2 linked regions of the Sus scrofa genome follow. The protein of the gene in region 1 purifies or fractionates together with the protein of each later gene. This does not show direct contact. Links are inferred from orthologs where the notes say so. Each region holds a gene or a part of one and is shown on either strand. Other genes may lie near its edges.

Evidence for each region.
Region 2: the proteins of ADRB2 (region 1) and USP33 purify together in Homo sapiens (affinity purification with western blotting; 3 studies listed by BioGRID and IntAct, with this or other methods). This does not show direct contact. The link is inferred for Sus scrofa from reciprocal best matches to the Homo sapiens genes ADRB2 and USP33.

What each region holds. Positions count from the first base shown.
Region 1 is NC_010444.4:150,027,015-150,038,562, reverse strand, and holds ADRB2 (beta-2 adrenergic receptor), read right to left. Parts: upstream 5,915-11,548; 5' UTR 5,256-5,914; intron 5,001-5,255; 5' UTR 4,768-5,000; coding exon 3,511-4,767; 3' UTR 2,972-3,510; downstream 1-2,971. UniProt on the Homo sapiens protein: Beta-adrenergic receptors mediate the catecholamine-induced activation of adenylate cyclase through the action of G proteins. The beta-2-adrenergic receptor binds epinephrine with an approximately 30-fold greater affinity than it does norepinephrine.
Region 2 is NC_010448.4:135,582,146-135,592,950, forward strand, and holds the end of USP33 (ubiquitin carboxyl-terminal hydrolase 33), read left to right. Parts: intron 1-3,000; coding exon 3,001-3,103; intron 3,104-5,626; coding exon 5,627-5,695; intron 5,696-6,397; coding exon 6,398-6,555; 3' UTR 6,556-7,597; downstream 7,598-10,805. UniProt on the Homo sapiens protein: Deubiquitinating enzyme involved in various processes such as centrosome duplication, cellular migration and beta-2 adrenergic receptor/ADRB2 recycling.

The sequences.
Region 1 (11,548 bases):
CAGTTCTGACATGTGTTCCTGCATGTATGGTGAACTGCATCATGCCACTTCCTGTTTGCATGTGTGCAAGGAATCACATGGACCTGGGTTCCAGTCTAAACGCTGCAGCTAGCTGGTTGTGTGGCTTTGGCAAGGGACTTAACCTTTCCCCTCATTTGTTAGATGAGGACGGTTTTGCTACCTACTTCCTAAGACTGTCAAGGTTACATCATGCCTAAAAGCTGCCTGTTACAATGCTGAACGTTTAGTAATATTTCATAGACGGTATCTGTGTAGTATTACTAGTATTATGCTCCAGAAATCAGAGATTGAAACCGGTATTTTTCTCCTGCTGCACACAGTAGTTGTAAATAACTCCTGGCGGATTCTGGTCAAGCTTCTCTTGGTAGGAGGTGCATCAGAAACATTCTAAGCATCATTTAACGACAGGTCCTACTTCCCAGCTCCCTTTCCCCCAGGACCCTTCTGCCAGTAATGATCTCAGTGAGGAGGCCCACCCTGTTCTGCCACTTTGCACATCTGTCAGCTTGCATCTCAGGATAAAGTTCTCACTTGACAGACTCCAAGAACTTGCTGTCCAGGCAAAGACAACTTTATGATGATGCATCCAACACACACCTTACGTAACCAACCTGTCAGTAAACAGGGACAGATGCTGGCAAATGCCCACTCCCCAAAAGAAACAAAACGGGATGAAAGGAGATGGAAAGCAAGCAACTGAGATAGGCCTTAAAGGCTCCTGATTGTCAAAACCCTTAAAACTGATCAGAGTTCTTGTATTTAAAGTATTCCCAAACAGACATGAATTAGGCTAAAACTCCCTTTTAGCTGGAAGTTTATGAAGTAACGTCATAGCTGAGTTTTTAATTAAAACTACATTAGATAATCCTCTAACCAAAAGAGTATGTATGTATTATTGTCCATGGGAGTTAGACATGATGATGGTAAGGTTTCCAACCTTTTTTTAAAATAAGCCTATGGTAAATTTCTACCTGGAATGGCTTGAAATTTCTGGCAGGTCATAAAGAGTTAAGGAATCTCCCAGTTTCCCTAAATGCTGAGAAAAAGGAATGATTCTCTTGTCCCTACTGCACATTATTTGTTTATTGCCTGTGTTTTGTATTACGGACCTGAAAGAAATGTTAACATCTGCAGAAATGAATTGGTTAATGTGCCAGTCCCAAGGAAAAGCTTCCGCGATTGAGAGTGAGGGCAGAATCCCATGATAATGTGGTAGAGAGAATACACCAATTCTGGGCACGACAGCTGGGTTGCCTGGCATTAGCCCTGACTCTGACATCCTTGGCTTCTTACCTTGGGCTGATCTTCCCCCTTCTCTTTGGATGTCAGATGCTTTCTGTGCTTTCTCTTCCAAGTCTGAGATCCCCTGAGCCTATGAGGAGTGTGAAGATTAGCTGGAGAAGTTGCCTGCATCTCTGAGTGTAGGGCCCAGAGCAGGGGAAGCATGTGATAATGGGTATGAAAGCCCTTGGAGAAAAAGCAGAAGTGCTGAACGGCACACTCTCCAATGTGTGGAGGCATATTCTAGAAAAACAGGCTCCCAACTTTCTCCTGAGAGCTCAGTACTCATCCAGACACCCCATCACTGCACTGAGAGGAAGTAGAGAAGACACATGCTTTTCTGGTCGGAGACCTTGGGTGGGAAGGGAAGGGAAGGGAAGAAAGAAGTGGAGTCAGCTTCATGAGAGTGTGAAGTGGCAGTGAACCTGCAGGTTGATCTCTCCAGGCTGGCGTTGCCAAGGAGGACGATCTACTCGGTCAAACCTGGGCCAAGCGCTGGCTCAGACACCCAGGCAAAAATAGAAAGGGGTGGGAGAAGAAATGTGTTTACTTTTGTGATTTTCCCTTACTGCCTCTTGACAGTATGATCGTCTCTCCACAAACAGGCAGTCGCGGCTCATGGGCCTTGCCTTCATGGATAAACCCTCCCCAGCAGCTCAGTCTCCCCGTCCGTGTCTGGGCAGCAGGGGAGTAGGCTTGGAAGGAGGGGAAGAACATTGCCCTGGGGTCTGGGTTAATGGCGAAAAAAATCCCTCTCTGACGCCCTGCAAAATAAAGTGGTTACATTAGGCAGAATCTAAAAATCTGTTTAGATTTTTGAAGTTTAAAACTGAGGTTCTCAACCAGGGGAAATTTCATTCCTTAAGGGAGGGGTATTAGGAAATGTCTGCAGACATTTTTGGTTTTCACAACTCAGGAGGTGTTCCTGGCGTCTAGTGGGAAGAGGCCAGGGATGCTGCTGGACACCTGGCGATGTATAGGACAGCCCTCAACATTGGAGAATTATTAGAATTATTAGCTGAAAATGTTAATCTTGTGAGGTTGATAAATCTGGATTTATACTGGAGACTAGAGTCGGGGAAGGGGGGACAGGACGCACAGCAGGACAGAGAAGGAGGGTTCAACCCTGTTTCTCGGTCATGAGCTGTTCACCAGTTAAGTGTTCTCCAGCTTTCCCCCTACATCCCATGGCCTTTTTATTTCCCTTGGAGTTACCAGGCTTTGAGTATTTTCACAAGAACTTCCTTATCCTTAAAATGCCAAGCCCTGGTGTACTACAAAGATCTCTACCCTAAGACACGGTAAAGATAAAAACAAGCAGAAACCAGCAGAACTGAAAGGTGGGTGGTGAGGGCACACAGAGGGACATAACTCTGTTCCTATGAGTCAGTGTTTCTGATGTAACGACACAGAACACTGCATAGGAAGAGCGAGATGAACTACGCTGGGAGCGGACAGACTGCTAGGGGGACATCAGCAGTAGGAGAGAGACAGGTTTGCAGCCGCAGATTCAAAGGCAAACAAAAGGGTTAAGCAATCAGTGCATGTCATTCCTGTGTCATTCCACATTAAGTCACTGGGCACTTATTATAAATAGTTACCTGCGGTTTCCAGTGGGGGAGGAACCACACTCCAGTCAAGGGGTTTTGGAGAAACAGGTGCAATGAAGTCATGGTCAAACAATTTATTTACTGTAAACTTTAGACTTTGCTCAGGAAAACAACCAAAGCTGCCCCTCAAATCCCTGCCTACAACACCCCGTTTGAGCAAATAAGAGGGGTGGAGAGAGTCCATGTTCACAGCTGAAAGGTCCGAGAGACTCAAGATCCTCCAGTCCAAGGGTGCAGGAAGGAAGGTCTCCTTCAGAAACAAATTGCCAGCAGCAATATATTACCCCTAATACTTGATCAATGAGGTAGATATGCGGAAAAGTCATCAAAACATACCAGCCCCACGTCCTCTGGGACCGAAGGCCTGCAGACATAAACTTACACAAGTTCCATGCAAAGAGGAACTGAACTGTACAAGAAACAATCACTCAAATAATGTTTTCTCTTTTTTACAACTTAAAAAAATAAAAAATAAAAAGGCAGAAGGATGTTCCTCCTCCTGCACATCTCTATAGACGTTCATTCTAAATTCATCACACTCGAGTTGTTTAGTGTTTGGCTGGGAGGGAAAGGGGCGCTTAGAAAGTAGACACCTGCATCACAGCATGGAGTCATTTGTACTACAGTTCCTCCCCTGTGAATCAGTGCTATCATCGGGCACAGTACCTTGCCGGTGTGCACAGCCTTCCGGGCCTGGGGGCTCCTCACACAGCCGTTCGCTGTCTTTCTCCTCCCCCAGGTAACAGCCACTCTGTTCCCCTGTGTAGTCAGTCCTACCGTTGCTGTTGCTGGAGCAGCCGTTCCCATAGGCCTTCAGGGAAGACCTGTGCAGGCACAGAAGCTCCTGGAAGGCCATCCTGAAATCTGGACTCCGGCAGTAGATGAGGGGGTTGAACGCCGAGTTGACGTAGCCCACCCAGTTTAGCAGGATGTAAACTTCCTTGGGGATGAGGTTGTCATGGATCCCGTGCACAATGTTGACGATGAAGAAGGGCAGCCAGCACAGGGTGAACGTCCCCATGATGATCCCTAGCGTCTTGAGGGCTTTGTGTTCCTTCAAGCAGAACTTGGAGGACCTCCGATGTCCCGGCCCGCTCCGCCCATCCTGCTCCGCTTGGCTGAGGTTCTGGGCGTGGAAGCGGCCCTCAGACTTGTCGATCTTCTGGAGCTGCCTTCTGGCTACTTGAAAGACCCTGGAGTAGACGAAGACCATGACTACCAGGGGCAGGTAGAAGGACACGATGGAAGAGGCGATGGCGTAAGGCTGGTTGGTGAAGAAGTCGCAGCAGGCCTCCTCTGCATAGCAGTTTAAGGCTTCCCGGTGGGTGGCCTGGTACCAGTGCATCTTAATGGGTAAGAAGGAGATAAGGCCCGACACGACCCACACCATCAGAATGACCACCCGGGCCTTGTTCTTGGTCAGCAGGCACTGGTACTTGAAGGGGGACGTGATGGCAAGGTAGCGATCCACGGCGATCACGCACAGGGTCTCAATGCTGGCCGTGACGCACAGCACGTCAATGGAAATCCAAAACTCGCACCAGAAACTGCCGAAAGTCCACATTTTCATGAGGATGTGGCTGGCCCCAAAGGGCACCACCGCCAGGCCCATGACCAAGTCAGCACAGGCCAGGGAGGTGATGAAGTAGTTGGTGACCGTCTGGAGACGCTCGAACTTGGCGATGGCTGTGATGACCAGCACGTTTCCAAACACGATGGCCAGGACAATGAGCGACATGACGATGGCCATGCCCACCACCCATGCCTCGTTCCGCTCCTGTGGGACGTCCTGGTCCGGCGCATGGCTTCCGTTGGGCGCCAGCAAGAAGACGCTGCGGTTCCCGGGCTGCCCCATGGCGCGCAGGCGGGCAGGTGAGCGCGCTGGCAGCCGGCGCACCCGCCGCGCCTCAGCGGGCCGACCTCCGGCGGGGGGCTGCGGGCAGCGAGCGGGCGCCTAGAAGCCTCATTCAGCGGCCGTGGGGTGGGTGTGGAGGGGGCGCGTGGTGCACTCAGCTCCCGGGGTGCTCGAGGCTCGCAGTGCCGGCGGGTCTCTGCCTGCGCTCCGGAGAAGCCGCCTCGGAGTGCGCGCTGCCCGTTATGTGCACAGGACTTGAGGGGAACTGCCCTCCCCGTGACGTGCTCCAACTTGGGACCAATGGCGCGCGGGAAGCCCCAAAGGGGCGAGGCCCCCCCCCCCCCCCCCGCCCCTTCCCTCCCTCTCCCGCCTCCTCCTGGGGCTGGCCCGGGCGGGGCCCCGCTGCTCCCTGCCGGCCGGTCGCCACTCCCTCCAGGCTACCCAGGCTGGCCCCAGGGCTGAAGCTGAAGTTGGGGGGTGCCGCTTACCAGCGAGCTGGGAGCTGCGCAGTCTTCTGTGGCTGCTACCTGCCTGCCCGGGCTTGTCGTGAGGCCTGAGGACCCTGGGCAGAGGGTAGTGCGCAGGCACTCCCTCCTATTCGGAAATAGACGAGAATGAGAGTGCCCGCCAGGACACGCACGGACAGGCACAATTCACCTGGCAGACGTGCACGGACTTAGACGGAGCCACAGCCACCGACACGCAGACACACCCATCCAGCACACCGACAAGCACACGCGCGTGCGCGCACGGACACACACACACACACAAGCAAATCGGCGCAAAGTCAACCTTAACTAACGCAGAGACGTGGTCAGGAACAAACCCAGCAGCACCCAGAACCACAAAGTCATAGGCACACACGAAAAGAAGTAAACAACACACTAAGGGCCACGTGGAGGCAAGCCGGGAGTCACAGCCAAGGACGTCCCCACCCATGTTCTACAAACCCTTCTCCGGCACCCTGGATCTCCGTCCTTTCCTCCCCAGCATGCGGACATTTCGCATATTCCCTTTCAAACATTTGGCGAGACCTCAGGAGGTGACTTCAGCAGCTGCCCATTTCCTCAGCTCGCTCGCTGTCAAGGACTTTCGGTGCTCTCCTTGGGAATCTGCAGGCACTGAGACAGGCTTTTACGCTTGGGATTTCATTCAGACCTGGGCTATCCATGCGTGTGTTTGGGGACAGAAAGAGAAAGTTGTATGCTTTAATTTTAATTCTAGTGAGTGTGGCATCACTCCTTCATTATCTGTTCAAGTGAAAATGTACTGAAAATAGAATAATTTTTCTTTGAAGCTCTACTTCATTCATGCCTGGGCAACTAGAAAAATCATCTGCTGGGTAGTTTGGTGATCCGAGCCATATGAAATTGCTGCTATTCTATAATCTCTGCTTCTAAAACATGGCAATTTATTATGGTTCACATTACTAAGAATGTGTAACATTAAAAATGTTTTGAGGCGTTCCCGTCGTGGCGCAGTGGTTAACGAATCCGACTAGGAACCATGAGGTCGCGGGTTCCATCCCTGGCCTTGCTCAGTGGGTTAACGATCCGGTGTTGCCATGAGCTGTGGTGTGGGTCGCAGATGTGGCTCAGATCCAGCGTTGCTGTGGCTCTGGTGTAGGCTGGCAGCTACAGCTCCGATTAGACCCCTAACCTGGGAACCTCCATATGCCGCAGGTGCAGCCCAAGAAATGGCAAAATGACAAAAAAAAAAAAAAAAAAAAAAAAAAAAAAAGGTTTGAAACCACAGAAAGGAAAAGGTATTTTTTCTTAAAAAAGTCAGACCAAGCTTCAGACGAGGTCATTTTCCATGAAATATTAGCCTTTGCATCTGGCATGTGACTTCACTGTTAAAAAGAAATTAATTTTCAGGGTTTGATTTTTACATGTATTAGTAGTGTCTTTGAAGAACTGAAAGTGTTTCACTCAGTGTAACCAAACATATTTTCTAGATTACATAATAACTTAACAATGGCTAACATTTATGAAACATTCTGCTATGTGCTTTTCATGCATTATTCCATTTCATCCTTCCCACAGTCGCCTGGTGGTGTGTGTGCTGGGGTGGGTGGGGCGGATAGTTATTTTTAATTTAATTCACAAAGGGGGCTGGAAGAGGAGAATAGCTTGCCCACAGGCACAGCCTGGCAATGCCAGGCAGGAGCTGAACCCAGTTCTCCCTGATTCTAAAATCTCTTTTTTAATCCTTTCAATGTACTGCTTTACCATGTGCAGAACAGAGTGGAGGGTAGAGAAGGATTACAACTGGAATTGGAATACTGCATTCCAGTTTCTTTCTAGCTCACATTCCTTAGGCAAATCCAAAATCTGGAGCCTAATTTCCTCTATGTCTAAATGTGCAATAAAGTTGCTTCTTTTGAGCTAAATGAGAACCAAATGATGTAATGATAAATGAGATAGTGCTTTTGCAAGTAAAAACTTCACTCAAGTAGGGTTATAAATGAGATTGATATAAATTACTGAATAGTCCAGAATATGTTGTTAGTGTTCACTAGTGGACACTGAAGTACTTTAGGACAAAAGGACTTGGGCATTTACTCCAGAACTCAGAAGCAAAACCACATGCCCTGTTTAACTTCCTTCACTAGCAGAAATTGTTTTTGCATGACAAATGCCTTAAAACACAAATATTTCCCATAAAAGCCACAGATATTAATTAAGGATCTATTATGCTCACATAATTTTCAAAATACACCCGTCCCATATTTGTGTTTTCCAAAATTGGCTCTGGCAGGATGCATTTTAGGAAGAGGCCTTGTTTGTTATGCAACATTTCTTTAAATACATGTCTTCTCTGGAATTGTAGAACTGAGCCATTTAAAGCTTCTGTCCTATTTGTGATGCTGTGCAATAAATAAGCATATTGTTTAACTCTCTTATAACCAAAAAAGAAAAAAGAGAGTCCTTTTAGAACAAACCTCATGGATCATTTAGGCATACACATAAGTCATTAAAAATTTAACTTTGAATATTTTGGGAAACACCTTTGAAAAAAGCCACAAACTCTAACTCTAGAAGGGAAGACGGCTTGGCTTACATCAGCACCATTCCAGACCTTTGCCCCACCAGCCCCGCCAAAGGGACAGTACCTTCCCTTCTCATTCTGTTCCCCTTTGTCTTCCCCGCATCACCGAGTCTTTTCCCGACCTTCTTTTAGAGTTGTAGGCTTAGAGATAGTTGGAGCAGCAGAGAATTTACTAGACCCTTTACTTTATTCCTCCTGCTCCTCCAGTTTGCAAGTGAGGGACTAAAGTGCAGGAGCCAGAAGTGCCTGGTTGGAGGCAGCAGAGAAGAGGGAGTCTAGCTCGCTTCCTGGCCTCACATGTTTTCACTGCCCACCATCACGTCTTCATTCCCCCGCAGAAGACTGTGACGAGCACAGCGTTTTGGGCACAGCTTTAGTTGAACTGGAAAGTTCTTTGTAGACCAAAGACACCTGCATCTGACATGACAAAGCAGGCTCTATTATGGTGATCGATAGTGTCTAATTACATACTTTTTTTTTTTTTTTTTTTGGTCTTTTCTAGGGCCGCTCCTGCAGCATGTGGAGGTTCCCAGGCTAGGGATCGAGTCGGAGCTGTAGACGCCGGCCTGCACCACAGCCACAGCAACTCGGGATCCGAGCCGCGTCTGCAACCTACACCACAGCTCATGGCAATGCCGGATCCTTAACCCACTGAGCAAGGCCAGGGATCGAACCCTCAACCTCATGGTTCCTAGTCGGATTCATTAACCACTGTGCCACGACAGGAACTCCCTCTAATTACATATTCTGTCCATCGCTTTAGACACCATTTGTTTTTTCCTGCCTGGCAAACAGAAAAAAAAAAAATCTTGATTTACCAAACAAATGTCTGAAAAGGAGTAAGAGTCTGTGAGCGAAGGAGTGCTCTCACATGAATATCTGGATGCCTTAGGAAAATCTTATCCCAGTCTTGGCTGAGACAAGATTCCTTTCATCTTTTAAAAAAAATGTATGTTGAGGTATAATTGACATGGAACATTATATGGGTTTCAGGTGCGCAACGTAGTGATTGAGTATGTGTGTGCATAGGTGGTGAAATGATCATCTTACGTCTAGTTACTGTTCGTCACCACGCATCATGGTTAGCTCTCAGGGTTTGCTCTCTTGGCAGCTTTGGAGTCAGCTCTGCGGTGTTACTGACCAGGGTCAGTGTGACGCACATTGCATCTCCCCGGCTCATTTCTCTTGAAATTGGGAGCTTGTGCCTCTTGACCCTGCACCCATTTTATCCTCTCTCCATCTCCCCCTGCTCCGGCAGACCCCATGGGCTTCTCTGTATCTGTGACTGTCATTTTGGTTTTTATTGTTTTTTTTAGATTTCATATGTAAGTAGACTCACACAGCCTTTGTCTCTCGTTGACATGTTTCACTTAGCATAATTCCCTTACGGTTAATCCATGTTGTCGCAAATGGCAAGACTTCATTCCATTTTATGGTGGAGTGATAGTCCATTTACATGTGTATAAATATATTTATAGTATATATAATATATATATCCTTTATCTGTGTATTTACCAATGTATACTCAGGTTGCTTCCTTATCTTGGGTATTATAGATAATGCTGCAGTGAATATGGGGATGCATTTATCTTTTTGCATTAGTGCTTTAATTTCCTGCAGATAAATACCCAGATGTGAAATAGCTGGATCATATCGTAGTTCTGTTTTTAATTTTTTGAGGAACTAAACGCTCCTACTTTTCCACAGTGGTAACACCAACTTACCTCCCCTCCAAGAGTGCGTCAGGGTTGCCTTTCCTCCACATCCTCACCAGCACGTGTTATTTCTGTCTTTCTGATGATAGCCATTCTGCTGTGTGTAAGGTAATGTCTCATTGTGGTTTTGATTTGCATTTACCTGATGATTAGTGATAATGAGCATCTTTTCATGTGTCTGTTGGCCATCCATATGTCTTTGGAAAAATACCTATTCAGATCATCTGTTCATTTTCAAAAATCAGAATTTTTTAATTTTCTATTGAGTTTTATGAATTCTTTATAGAATTTTGATATTAACCTCCTATCAGATAAATGATTTACAAACATTTTCTCCCATTCAGTAGCTTGTCTTTCATTTTGTTAATTGTTTCCTTAACTTGCAGAAGTAAGTTTGGTGTAGTTCTGTTTGTTCATTTTTGCTTTTGTTGCCTCTGCTTTTGGATTCAGATCCAAAACTTTATTGCCAAGATCCATGTCAAGTAGTTTACCGCCTCTCTTTTCTTCTGGTTTTATGCAAAGTGGGTAGAGGGACGGTCCCTCAGCGTAACCAAGACCATGTATTCAAACTCAGAGAAAATATCATACTCCATGCTTTTCCCCTCAGATCAGAAATACGATGACGGGGGTGTCCACTCTCCCCACTTTTATTCAGTGTGGTGTTGGAAGTCTTTGTCAGAGCAATTAGGCCAGAAAAAGAAGTAAAATGTACCTACATCAGAAAGGAAGAAGTAAAACTGTCTCCATTTATGGATGACATAATTTTACATAGAAAACTTTAAAGATGCCACCAACAAACTGTTAGAATAAATGAATTCAGTTAAGTAGCAGGGTACAAAATGATATACAAAAATCGTTGCATTTCTATATACTTGACAACAGACTATCAGAGGGAAAAGTTAAAAAAATCCTGTCTACAACTGTGTCAAAAAAGAGTAAGATACCTAGGAATAAATTTAACTATGGAGGTGAAAGACTTGTACTCTGAAAATGCTGTCATTGATGAAAAATTCAAGAAGGCACACAGAAATGGAAAATATCCTGGGCTTATGCCACGGAAGAATTCATGTCGTCAAAATGTTCACAGTACCCAAGACAAGCTTCAGATTCACTGCAGTCCCTATCAGTGCTTTTCACAGACGTACAGTAAACCATCCTAAAATTTATTTGGAACCACAAAAAACACCAAGTAGTCAAATCAGTCTTGAGGAAGAAAAACAGATCTGGATTTTGCTCCATGCTCCTTGGAAACTGCATTACAAGGCTATAGTTTTCAAAACAGACGTATAGATGAATGGAACAGGCTAGAGAACCCGGAAATAAACCTGTGCTTAGATGGCCGGTTAATTTATGACCAGGTAGGCAGGAATACCTAGTAGGGAAAGAGCAGTCTCTTCAGTAAGCGGTTTTGAGAAAACCGGACAGCCACACACAAAAGAGTGAAACTAGACCACTGTCTCGTACGATACATGGGAACTAACTCAAAATGGGTTAAAGAGTTGACCTCAGTCCTCAGGAGTCCCTGCATCTTTGCCATCCTTTAAGCAGAGGAGCTCCTATAGATTTTTTCCTAAATGATGGTCTCAAATGTCTGTCTTTAATATTAGTTCTGTATGGTATCATCTCATTAACTTTGCTTTAAATGAGATTAAATGCAGGAAAAACTTAGCGTGCTGCCTTGGAAAATAGCTATTACTGAAATCTTATTTTTTAATTAAAATGTATGTATAGAATGCATATGTCTTGTCAGATCACAGTGTGAAAGGACACTTTGAATGTAAATAAGGAGTTATTTGTTTATTGGCCACACTATGGCATGTGGAAGTTCCCCAGGCTAGGGATCAAACCTGTACCACAGCAGTGGTCATGCCAGATTCTTAACTGCCAAGCCACTACAGAATTCCCAAATAATTGAGTCATTTATTTTTAATTTGAATTTTTATGAAAAAGAATTCAGAAAGGAACAAAACTTGGTTCCTTAGAAAGAAGACTGATTCTGAAAATGACCATCGTCA
Region 2 (10,805 bases), on another chromosome or scaffold:
ATCAAAAAGTCTACAAATAAGAGGAGTTCCCACTGCGATGCAGCAGAAACAAATCCATCTAGGATCCATGAGGATACAGGTTCAATCCCTGGCCTCTCTGAGTGGGTCGGGGATCCAGTGTTGCCATGAGCTGTGGTGTAGGTTGCAGACGTGGCTCAGATCTGGCATTGCTGTGGCTGTGGAGTAGGCCGGCGACTGCAGCTCCGATTTGACCCCTAGCCTGGGAACTTCCATATGCCAAGGGTGTAGCCCTACAAAGATAAAAACAAACAAAAAGAAACAAAAAAAGTCTACAAATAAGAAATGCTGGAGAGGGTGTAGAAAAAGGGAACCCTCCTACACTGTTGGTGGGAATGTAAGTTGGTACAGCTACTATGGAAAACAGTATGGAGGGAGTTTCCTTAAAAAGTCACCATATGATCCTACAATTCTACTCTTAGGAGAAACTGTAATTTGAAAAGATACATGCACTCCAGTGTTCATTGCAGTGCCCACTGTTCATTGCAGCACTACTTACAGTAGCTAAGACATGAAAACAACCTAAAATGTCCAACAGATGAATGAATAAAGAAAAGGTGGTGTGTGTGTGTGTGTGTGTGTGTGTGTGTGTGTGTGTACATACTCCCACAATGGAATGTTACCCATAAAAAAGAATGAAATATGCTGTTTACAGCAACATGGATTGACCTAGAGAGTTTCATACTAAGTGAAATCAGCAGACAGAGAAAGACAAATATACGATACTGCTTATATGTATAATCAAAAAAAAAGATACAAATGAACTTATATACAAAACATATATACCCACGGACATAGAAAACAAATTTATGGTTACCAAAGGGGAAAGGAGGGAGAAGGGATAAATTAGGAGTTTGGGATTAACATATACAGACTACTATATATAAAATAGATAACCATTAGATAACCAACAAGGAACTGCTGTATAGTACAGGGAACTATACTCAATATTTCCTGATAACCTGTATGGAAAAATAATCTGTTTCAGTTAAAAAAAGGCCCACGAGTTCCCTTGTGGCCTAGCAGTTAAAGATTCGGCATTGTCATTGCTGTGGTATGGTTCGATCCCCAGCCTAGGCATTTTCACATGCTGCAGGCACAGCCATAAAAGAAAAAGCCTCATTGAGGAGTTCCCTTCGTGGCTCAGTGGTTAACGAATCCGACTAGGACCATGAAGTTGCAGGTTCAATCCCTGGCTGGCTCAGTGGGTTAAGGATCTGGCATAGGCCAGCAGCAACAGCTCCGATTAGACCCCTAGCCTGGGACCCTCCATATGCCACGGGTGTGGCCCTGGAAAAGAAAAAAAAAGAAAAGCCTCATTGAAAAGGTGATATTTAAGCAAAGAGTTGAAGGAGATGAGGGAGATGCTCAGAGGTGTCTGTAAAAAGATGGATAGCCATGCAACAGTTTTGAGAGACAGGAGTATATCTCTTTGATTCTAGGATAACAAGTGAATAAATGAGGGGGAAAGTATTAGAATATGATGTCCAATCTTGGGGCCAGATCGTGGAGGTAATTCTGGGCTGTTAACAAACTCTAAACTTTGTTAACTTTGTTAAGTTAACAAACTACTATTGTACCAAGGGATCTTGGTACAATAGTAGAGTTTGGATTAGATTTGATTATGGGAGAGAAATGATTGGAACTTAGTTGCCTTTGTCTGTAGGTAGTATGTACCGTGGGCATTTTAATTACCCATCATGGCATTGTTTCAGGAGTCTCACTTTCTTTTCACAGTATTACAATTAGATAATTTTCAGATACTCTTTTTTTGTTTTTTTTTTTGCTTTTTTTAGGACTGCACCTGAGGCATATGGAAGTTCTCAGTCTAGGGGTTGAATCATAGCTGTAGCTGCTGGCCTATGTCACAGCCACAGCAACGTGTGATGCTAGCCGTGTCTGCGACCTACACCACAGCTCATGGCAATGCTGGATCCTTAACCCACTGAGCGAGGCCAGGAATTGAACCTATATCCTCATGGTTCCTAGTTGGGTTTGTTAACCACTGAGCCACAAAGGAAACTCCCTTCACATACTCTTCATTTTCCTCAGGCTCCATTACTGTTTCTCTCTATATATACATATATCAATTTTTTAATCAATTTGGTTCCTTTAGTTGAAAGTAGTAGAAGTCAGATTGACTAATTTAAACAAAAAAGGAAATTTATTGAAAAGAAAAATTGAATAACCAAACTTTCACAAGTTCAGGAACCATGAGTATTCCAGTATAGCCAACAAATTGACATTGGAATTACTCCATTCCAATCATTAGTTTACTCCTCTGAAGATTTCCATTTCTAGTAGTTAGCCTAGATTAAGTCACATACCCATTCTTTGGGCCTTATGACTAGAGGAGAGAATGGAACATCCTCAAAGACTATCCCACTGGAGTTCCTTTGCGGCACAGCGGGTTAAGGATCCAGTGGGTTGTTGCTGCTATGGCACAGGTTCAATCTCTGGCCCAGGAATTTTCACATACCATGGGCACAGCCAAAAGAATAAAAAAAAAAAAAAGGACTGTCCCACTGCTTTTGAGAATTTATTCTATATATGTCTATTATCTGTGAAATGATATGTACAAGATTATTCATTGCAACATTATAATAGCAACATGGCCACCAATATCTTAAGTGAATAGAAGTAAGATGTAGACAGTGGGTATAGTATATTTAAATAAGAATTATACATCAGATTTTTAATAAATGTGTGCAGTATTTATTGTTGTGAAGACTTTACCCTGACCGTTTTCATTTATCTAATATTTTATGCCCCTTTTGTGTGTACTAAATTTTAAGTTATAACTTAGAATTGTTTAATAGGTGTTACCCTGTATCCTAGTATCAACATAACTTAGCATCAATGTACATCTGTTGTGTTCTTTGTGAGGAATTGGCCTTACCAGATGCGGAAGTATAGAATGGTTGTATTGTTTTACTACAAAGCAAATTCTAGACTTTAGATAACTGATTTTCCCCCCTATAGCTCAACAGAGCATTCCAAGAGGAGGACTCGCCAGCTACTTTTTATTGCATCAGTATGCAGTGGTTTAGAGAATGGGAAAGTTTTGTGAAGGGTAAAGATGGAGGTAAGTATTTAAAAGAATTTTTTTTTTGCAGATTTTTTGTTTATTTGACAAATGTTTCTTGAATATCTCTGTGCACTTGCGATTATACTAATGAGCAAGAGAGAAAAAGGTTCCTGCCCTCAAGGATTGTACATTCTGGTTTATCTGTTTTGGTTATTTTTATTTTTTATTTGTTTATGTATTTACTTTTTTTTTGGCCATGAATGTGGCATGTGGAAGTTCCCAAGACAGGGATACAACCTGTACCACAGCAGCACCTTGAGCCATAGCAGTGACTATACCAGATCCTAAACCTGCTGAGTCACCAAGGAACTCCCTATTTTTAATTTTTTTTTAACTTTTTCATGAGTTACGGCATATCCATGGCAGGAATAAAATAACTGAATAAAATTAATCTGCAACCTTAACATTGAAAAAAATTTTAAAAAATCCTCCCAACAATAAGATTGGTTAGGAGTTCCCTGATGGCTCAGCAGGTTCATGATCTGGCATTGTCACTGCTGTGGTGCAGATTCCATCCTTGGTCCCGGAACTTCCCTGTGCTGTGGGTACAGCAAAAAATAAAATGAAGCATGCTTTTAAAAAATTAATGAGATTGGCTAAATTATTTTATCTGTTAAAATGGGATACTATGTGGGCTTTAAAAATAATTTGTGTAACTGTTTAATTTAAAAATAAGATGTTCTTTTTTTTTTTTTTGTCTTCTTGGGGCCGCACCTGTAGCATATGGAGGTTCCCAGGCTAGGGGTCGAATCAGAGCTGTAGCAGCTGGCCTATGCCAAAGTCACAGCAACGTCAGATCCCAGCCACATCTGCAACCTATACCACTCTTAGGGCAACGCCAGATCCTTAACCCACTGAGCAAGGCCAGGAATTGAACTTGTGTCCTCATGAATGCTAGTCAGGATCGTTTCCTCTGAGCCATGATGGAAACTCCTATTCTTGATTTATGAAAAGATTGTAATGCAGTATGTGTAGTTTGAACACTTTATATTAAAACAGAAAAAAGGCAACTGTATGCAAAGGCAGAAAGACCACAAAGATGATTAAAACAATTTGCTTATCTTTCTGTACTGAGATGATAGTATTTTTTTTCTTTCTTGTGCCTTTTTTTCCCCCAGTTTTTGATAATGAACATTCACTGTACTTTCAAAGGAAAGACAAATAAAGCTTTTTTCCTTATATTAAAAAAAAGATGGGAGTTCCCGTCGTGGCACAGTGGTTAAGGAATCTCACTAGGAACCATGAGGTTGCGGGTTCGGTCCCTGCCCTTGCTCAGTGGGTTAACGATCCGGCGTTGCCGTGAGCTGTGGTGTAGGTCCCAGACGCGGCTCGGAGCCCACGTTGCTGTGGCTGTGGCGTAGGCCGGTGGCTACAGCTCTGATTAGACCCCTAGCCTGGGAACCTCCATATGCCACGGGAGCGGCCCAAGAAAAGGCAAAAAGACAAAAAAAAAAAAAAAAGATGCATTTTAACATTTCATTTTACAATGCTTTTTATTGTTTTTAGTTTAATGACATTCTAAACTAATTGAAGAGTTGCATAATTTCTTTTTAAATTACAAAGGAATTATTCTTATTTAGCATAAAAAGTGCCTTTTAACCTGTAATCCCCAATGGACAGTTAAGAAATCATTTCTTTTTTGTGTGTGTGTGTGTGTGTGTGTGTCTTTTTGTCTTTTGTTGTTGTTGTTGCTATTTCTTGGGCCGCTCCCGCGGCATATGGAGGTTCCCAGGCTAGGGGTTGAATCGGAGCTGTAGCCGCCGGCCTACACCAGGGCCACAGCAACGCGGGATCCAAGCTGCGTCTGCAACCTACACCACAGCTCACGGCAACGCCGGATCGTTAACCCACTGAGCAAGGGCAGGGACCGAACCCGCAGCCTCATGGTTCCTAGTCGGATTCGTTAACCACTGCGCCACGACGGGAACTCCAAGAAATCATTTCTGTTACATTTTGGATGGTGAGTGAGAGGACTTCTCTCACCTTCTTTCCTGGTTCTGTTTTGGCAGAACTAAGACCCAAAAAGGAAGAAACTCAGAAGAATATGTTCAAGGGAATTCCTGCATAGCCCAGCAGGTTAAGACTAGTATCCATGAGAATGCAGGTTCGATGCCTGGCCTTGCTTAGTGAGTTAAGGATCTGGTGTTACTGTGGCTGTGGTGTAGGCCATCAGCTGCAGCTCTTCTTATTCGACTCCTAGCAGGAACTTCTATATGCTGCAGGTGGGGCCCTAAAAAATAAAAAAGCAATAAAAGAAGAATACAGTTAACTGACTATAAAAATCTAACTAAGGACTTTCCTGGTGGCCTAGTGGGTAAGAATCTGATATTGCTGCTGTGGCACGGCTTCCATCCCTGGACCAGGAACTTCTGCATGCTGTGGGCATGGCAAAAATGATAATACTCTGACTAAAAATAATCTGATTATACAGTTACATCTTTCAGTTATTTCAGGCACAGTTCTTGGTGCATTTCTTTAAAAAGTATACATTTTGATTATTTGTTTTTCCTTTTGACTTAGATCCTCCAGGTCCTATTGATAACACTAAAATTGCAATCACCAAATGTGGCAATGTCACACTTAGGCAAGGTAAGTTTGACTAATACTTAAGCCTTTATTTGTTAGTGATTTGTCACTGTCAAGAATATATCATGACTAGCCTCCTCTGCCACTTTTTTTACCCAGTTCAGTGATGTAATTCATATATGAAGTAGGATAGTGGAAAAATTGTCAGTGTTTAATTTTTATCTGAAGAAAGGTTTTAAGGCTGTTTATAGGGGCAAGGGAAAAGGATCTCCAACTTTTTTTTTTTTTTTTTTTTTGTCTTTTGTCTTTTTTAGGGCCGCTCCCATGGCATATAGGAGGTTCCTAGGCTAGGGGTTGAATCCGAGCTATAGCCACTGGCCTACGCCAGAGCCACAGCAGTGTGGGATCTGAGCCGCGTCTGCGACCTACACCACAGCTCATGGCATCGCTGGATCCTTAACCCACTGAGCGAGGCCAGGGATTGAACCCGCCACCTCATGGTTACTAGTCTACCTCATGGTTACTAGTCGGGCTCGTTAACCACTGAGCCATAACAGGAACTCCCAAGGATCTCTGACTTTTTAAGGCAGACCATAGTGTTGCAACTTGTGACAGTATGAGCTGGTAGTGTGAAGATTCATGTTCTCAAAGTTCTCAGTTACTATACTGGTACAAGATTTGTGCTGGGGGTACATTGTGAAGGTTTTTCCAATATGAATATGTAAGTTTGTAAATACTATTCTTTCTACATATATTTAATTTTAGGGGCAGATTCTGGTCAGATTTCTGAAGAAACGTGGAATTTTCTACAGTCTATATATGGTGGAGGGCCTGAAGTCATCCTGCGGCCTCCTGTTGTTCATGTTGATCCTGATGTCCTACAAGCAGAAGAAAAAATTGAAGTAGAAACTCGGTCTTTGTAATTTTGAGGGTATAGAGGTCTGATGAGAAATCATTCTCACATCTTCTGACATATAGTCATGCAAAAACATTCCTAAAAGCATGTTTATTTTCTTGATTTTTAATATTTTATCTTTTATTCCTTCTTACTGGGCATTTTGAAAGAATGTGTTCAAATGTATAGTATTCTACAGGTTGGTATATTTAATGGTAGATAACTTTCCGTAAAGTCTTTTGGTGTAATATTTTTGAAAGAGAAGGGGTAATTGTGATCATTTGGTAATGAGTTGGTTATCTTTGATATTTATACTACATATAAACCCATGAATCCTTTGTAGCTTTGTAAATACTTTTGCTTTGAAAACTTTTTCATTATCCTAAATGATCATAACTCTGACCAATCTTTTCAGTTCTTCAAAAACTTGATTTAATTGTATAGTTTTGACATGGCTTCTTATAATATAAAGAGCCTATTTTAAATTGAGAGTTGTAGTCAGAAAAATGTTAATTTCCTAAAGCTCAGGAAACTGTTAGGGTGTCAACTTCTTTTGCACTGCAGCATATAAACTAGCATATTAATATTTACAAGATGTCTTTTTGAATGTATCAAGGATGTATTTAGTTTGAGTGGAATTTGTGTCAGCAGATATTAGTAATTTATTGCCTCCTATACTGTAAAATATTAAATTTCAATTCCTATAACCCTGATTAGTAATCTTAATATCAGTAAAAAACTTAGAGTTAGTTTTAGGACACTTTGTTTTGAGAGCATGAAGTATAGACTGTCAATGAGATTGTTGATAAAGCTGAAGTCTAAGCCTCTTGCAAATGATTTTTTAAATGAAACCTGCATAAAGTCTTTTTGAATAATATAGTATGCACTGCTATTTGCTTGATTATGTGATGTCAAAAGTTTAACTATATTCCAAGTACAAAACTAAACTGGATTACTTTGAGAATGTTGAATAGCATTCACAGTGGCTTTGTTTTGGTTTGGGGCAGCTGCCACCAGCTAAAACAGCATTATTAAAATTAGTTCAATAAAAATGATTTAAAAATGTGTAATTTGGATGTTGTATTTATTTGATAGATATTGAGTGAAGGGTATAAAGTTTGTTAATATTAATATTGTCTTATTATTTCTTTTTTTTTTTTTCCTTTTTATAGCCACACGTGCAGCATATGGAAGTTCCCAGGCTAGGGATCAAAACAGAGCTTCAGCTGCCGACTTACACCACAGCTATAGCAACACCAGATCCTTGACCTACTGAGTGAGGCCGGGGATCACACCCACATCTTCATGGATACAAATTGGGTTCTTAACCTGCTGAGCCACAACAGGAATACCTTGTCTTACTATTTCTTAATCAGGAGTTCCAGTCGTGGCGCAGTGGTTAACGAATCCGACTAGGAACCATGAGGTTGCGGGTTCGGTCCCTGCCCTTGCTCAGTGGGTTAAGGATCCGGCGTTGCCGTGAGCTGTGGTGTAGGTTGCAGACGTGGCTCGGATCCCGAGTTGCTGTGGCTCTGGCGTAGGCCAGTGGCTACAGCTCCGATTTGACCCCTAGCCTGGGAACCTCCATATGCCGCGGGAGCGGCCCAAAGAAATAGCAAAAAGACAAAAAAAAAAAAACTATTTCTTAATCAGAAGGTATGCAAAATAAGCCACTTTGGTATGTAATGAAATGACGTGATCAGCCTTTAGAATCTATTGGAATTTTTTTTTTTTTAAATGTAGTTTTTAGTTTTCTTCTTTCCCCTGGTTATGCTATGATCCTCTTCAAGGACTAAAGGATGTTGCTGATCTGTCTTGAATCACCAGAGTTTAGTGCAATGCCTGGCATTTAGGAGATAATTTTAAAAGATTTGTATTTAATAGTGCTTACCATTTATTAAATATATATGTTCTCTCAGACACTCTGCTAAAGTGCTTCACTTATATTCAATCCTCATTATAACCCTATAACTTAGGTCAGGTGGTTTGCCCAAAGTCGTACAGCAAAAAAGGAGCAGATATGGGACTCCAACTAATGTCATTGTGAATGGATATCAGTGTTCTTATTCACCATGATATATTATCTCCCACTGAATTATTTTAAAACAGATTATAGTATTAGCCACATTCATTAAAAGCATCCTTCACTGGGATATATAATATGACAAAGAATACTGGCTTCTGAAAGTGTGTATGATTTTTTTACATCATAATCATCAAAATACATAACAAGGAGTTCCCGTCGTGGCGCAGTGGTTAACAAATCCGACTAGGAACCATGAGGTTGCGGGTTCGGTCCCTGCCTTGCTCAGTGGGTTAACGATCCGGCGTTGCCATGAGCTGTGGTGTAGGTTGCAGACGCGGCTCGGATCCCGCGTTGCTATGGCCCTGGCATAGGCCGGCGGCTACAGCTCCGATTAGACCCCTAGCCTGGGAACCTCCATATGCTGCGGGAGCGGCCTAAGAAAGGCAAAAAGACAACAAGACAAAAAAAAAAAAAAAAAACAATATAATAAGTAAAGAGTTAGTAGTCCCACAGAATCTCAGCTAAAAGTTGACATATGTGTTAACAGATATCGAATGAAAGATTTGGTTTCTCAGGATGATTTTCTTGGCAATAACTTAGCTGAGAAATAGGACAATTGCAGTTAAGGGGTAGATCCTGTGTATGTTGAGAGTACTACATTGATTTACAACATGAAGGTGATAAGGTTTGGACTCAGGAATCAATTTGCTTATATTCAAATCCTAGTAGCTGTATCACCTTACAGCTATGATTTGCAATGGCAATGAAAGTTCTCTGATCTCCAGTTTTTTTCATCTCTTAGAATGTTTCAGGTTGGGTTTTCCAGGAAGCAGATGCTGAGACGGAATTAGGAGTGCAGTTGATTTCTTGGGGAGTGACATCAGTAAAAGGAAATGGAAGGAAGCAGGATTGAACAAAACAAGTTATCAGATCATAATGCTGACCTGACAAAGTCTCTGTCAGCCCCGTGGAGCGAGCCAGAGCTAAGATCATCTGTTGGAGAAGACCTGTATTGGGCAGAAAAGACTAGGCTGACTAGTGTACCTGGAAAAAAGTGACTTCAGATTGACATTGGTGGGACTAACAGCAAGCACTCTCCTTCCTTCTGGATAGCGAGTGTTTTGTTTTTGTTTTTGTTTTGTCTAAGGGCCGTACCCATGGCCTATGGAGGTTCCCAGGCTAGGGTTGAATCAGAGCTGTAGCCGCTGGCCTACACCACAGCTCACAAAACGCTGGATCCTTTAACCCACTGAGCGAGGCCAGGAGTTGAGTCTGTGTTCTCATGGATGCTAGTCAGGTCTGTCAACCGCTCAGCCATGACAGGAACTCCCAGGAGTGCTTTCTTAAAGAGTGTACATGTCTGCCATACTTGATCATAGGATTATGATAATTATGTGATTACCACATTTATCATCCTTAACATAATTGATGTAATTCTTATAATTCTCTTATTCTCTTTCTTCATGTCTCAATGTGTATCTTTTAAGGACACATCTATGTAAGTAAGGAAGCTGCCAAAAATATTTAATCTGAATCAAATCATGGAGCAAGAGGGGAGATCAAGATAATTGTTTTAAAAAGGCACATTATAGGAGTTCCCATTGTGGCTCAGCAGGTTAAGAACTCAACTAGGATCCATAAGGATGTAGGTTCAATCCCTGGCCTCTCAGTGGGTTAAAGGATCTGGCATTGCCATGAGCTGTGGTGTAGGCCACAGATGCAGCTCAGATCTGCTGTGGCTGTGGCTGTGGCTGGCAACTATAGTAGCTCAATTCAACCCCTAGATTGGGAATTTCTGTATGCCGCAGGCGTGGCATTAAAAAAAAAAAAAAAGTGCATTATACAAAGCAGTTTTCCTGGTTTCTTCAAACAGTGTTATGGAAAAAAAAAGACATGAAGATTGAGAGAATATTACAACAAAATGTAATGTGTGATAACTTGATTGGATCTTGGATTGGAGGAAATAATTTATAAGGAGTGCTATTGGGACAGTTAGGGAAATTTGACTAGGGAGTTTATATTAGATAATAGTATTATATCAGTATTAAGTTTCTTGAGTGTGGATAACTACTGTATTGTGAGAGAATGACCTTGATAGGAAGTACATGGTAAAGTTTTTAGGGTTGAAGTCATGCTGTGTGAAATAAACATGTGAGAGAGAAAGCAAGGAAGAGTACAAGTGTGGCCAGTGTTAATCACTGGTGAATCAAACCCAAATCACAAGGTATCCCCTCACACCAGTCAGAGTGGCC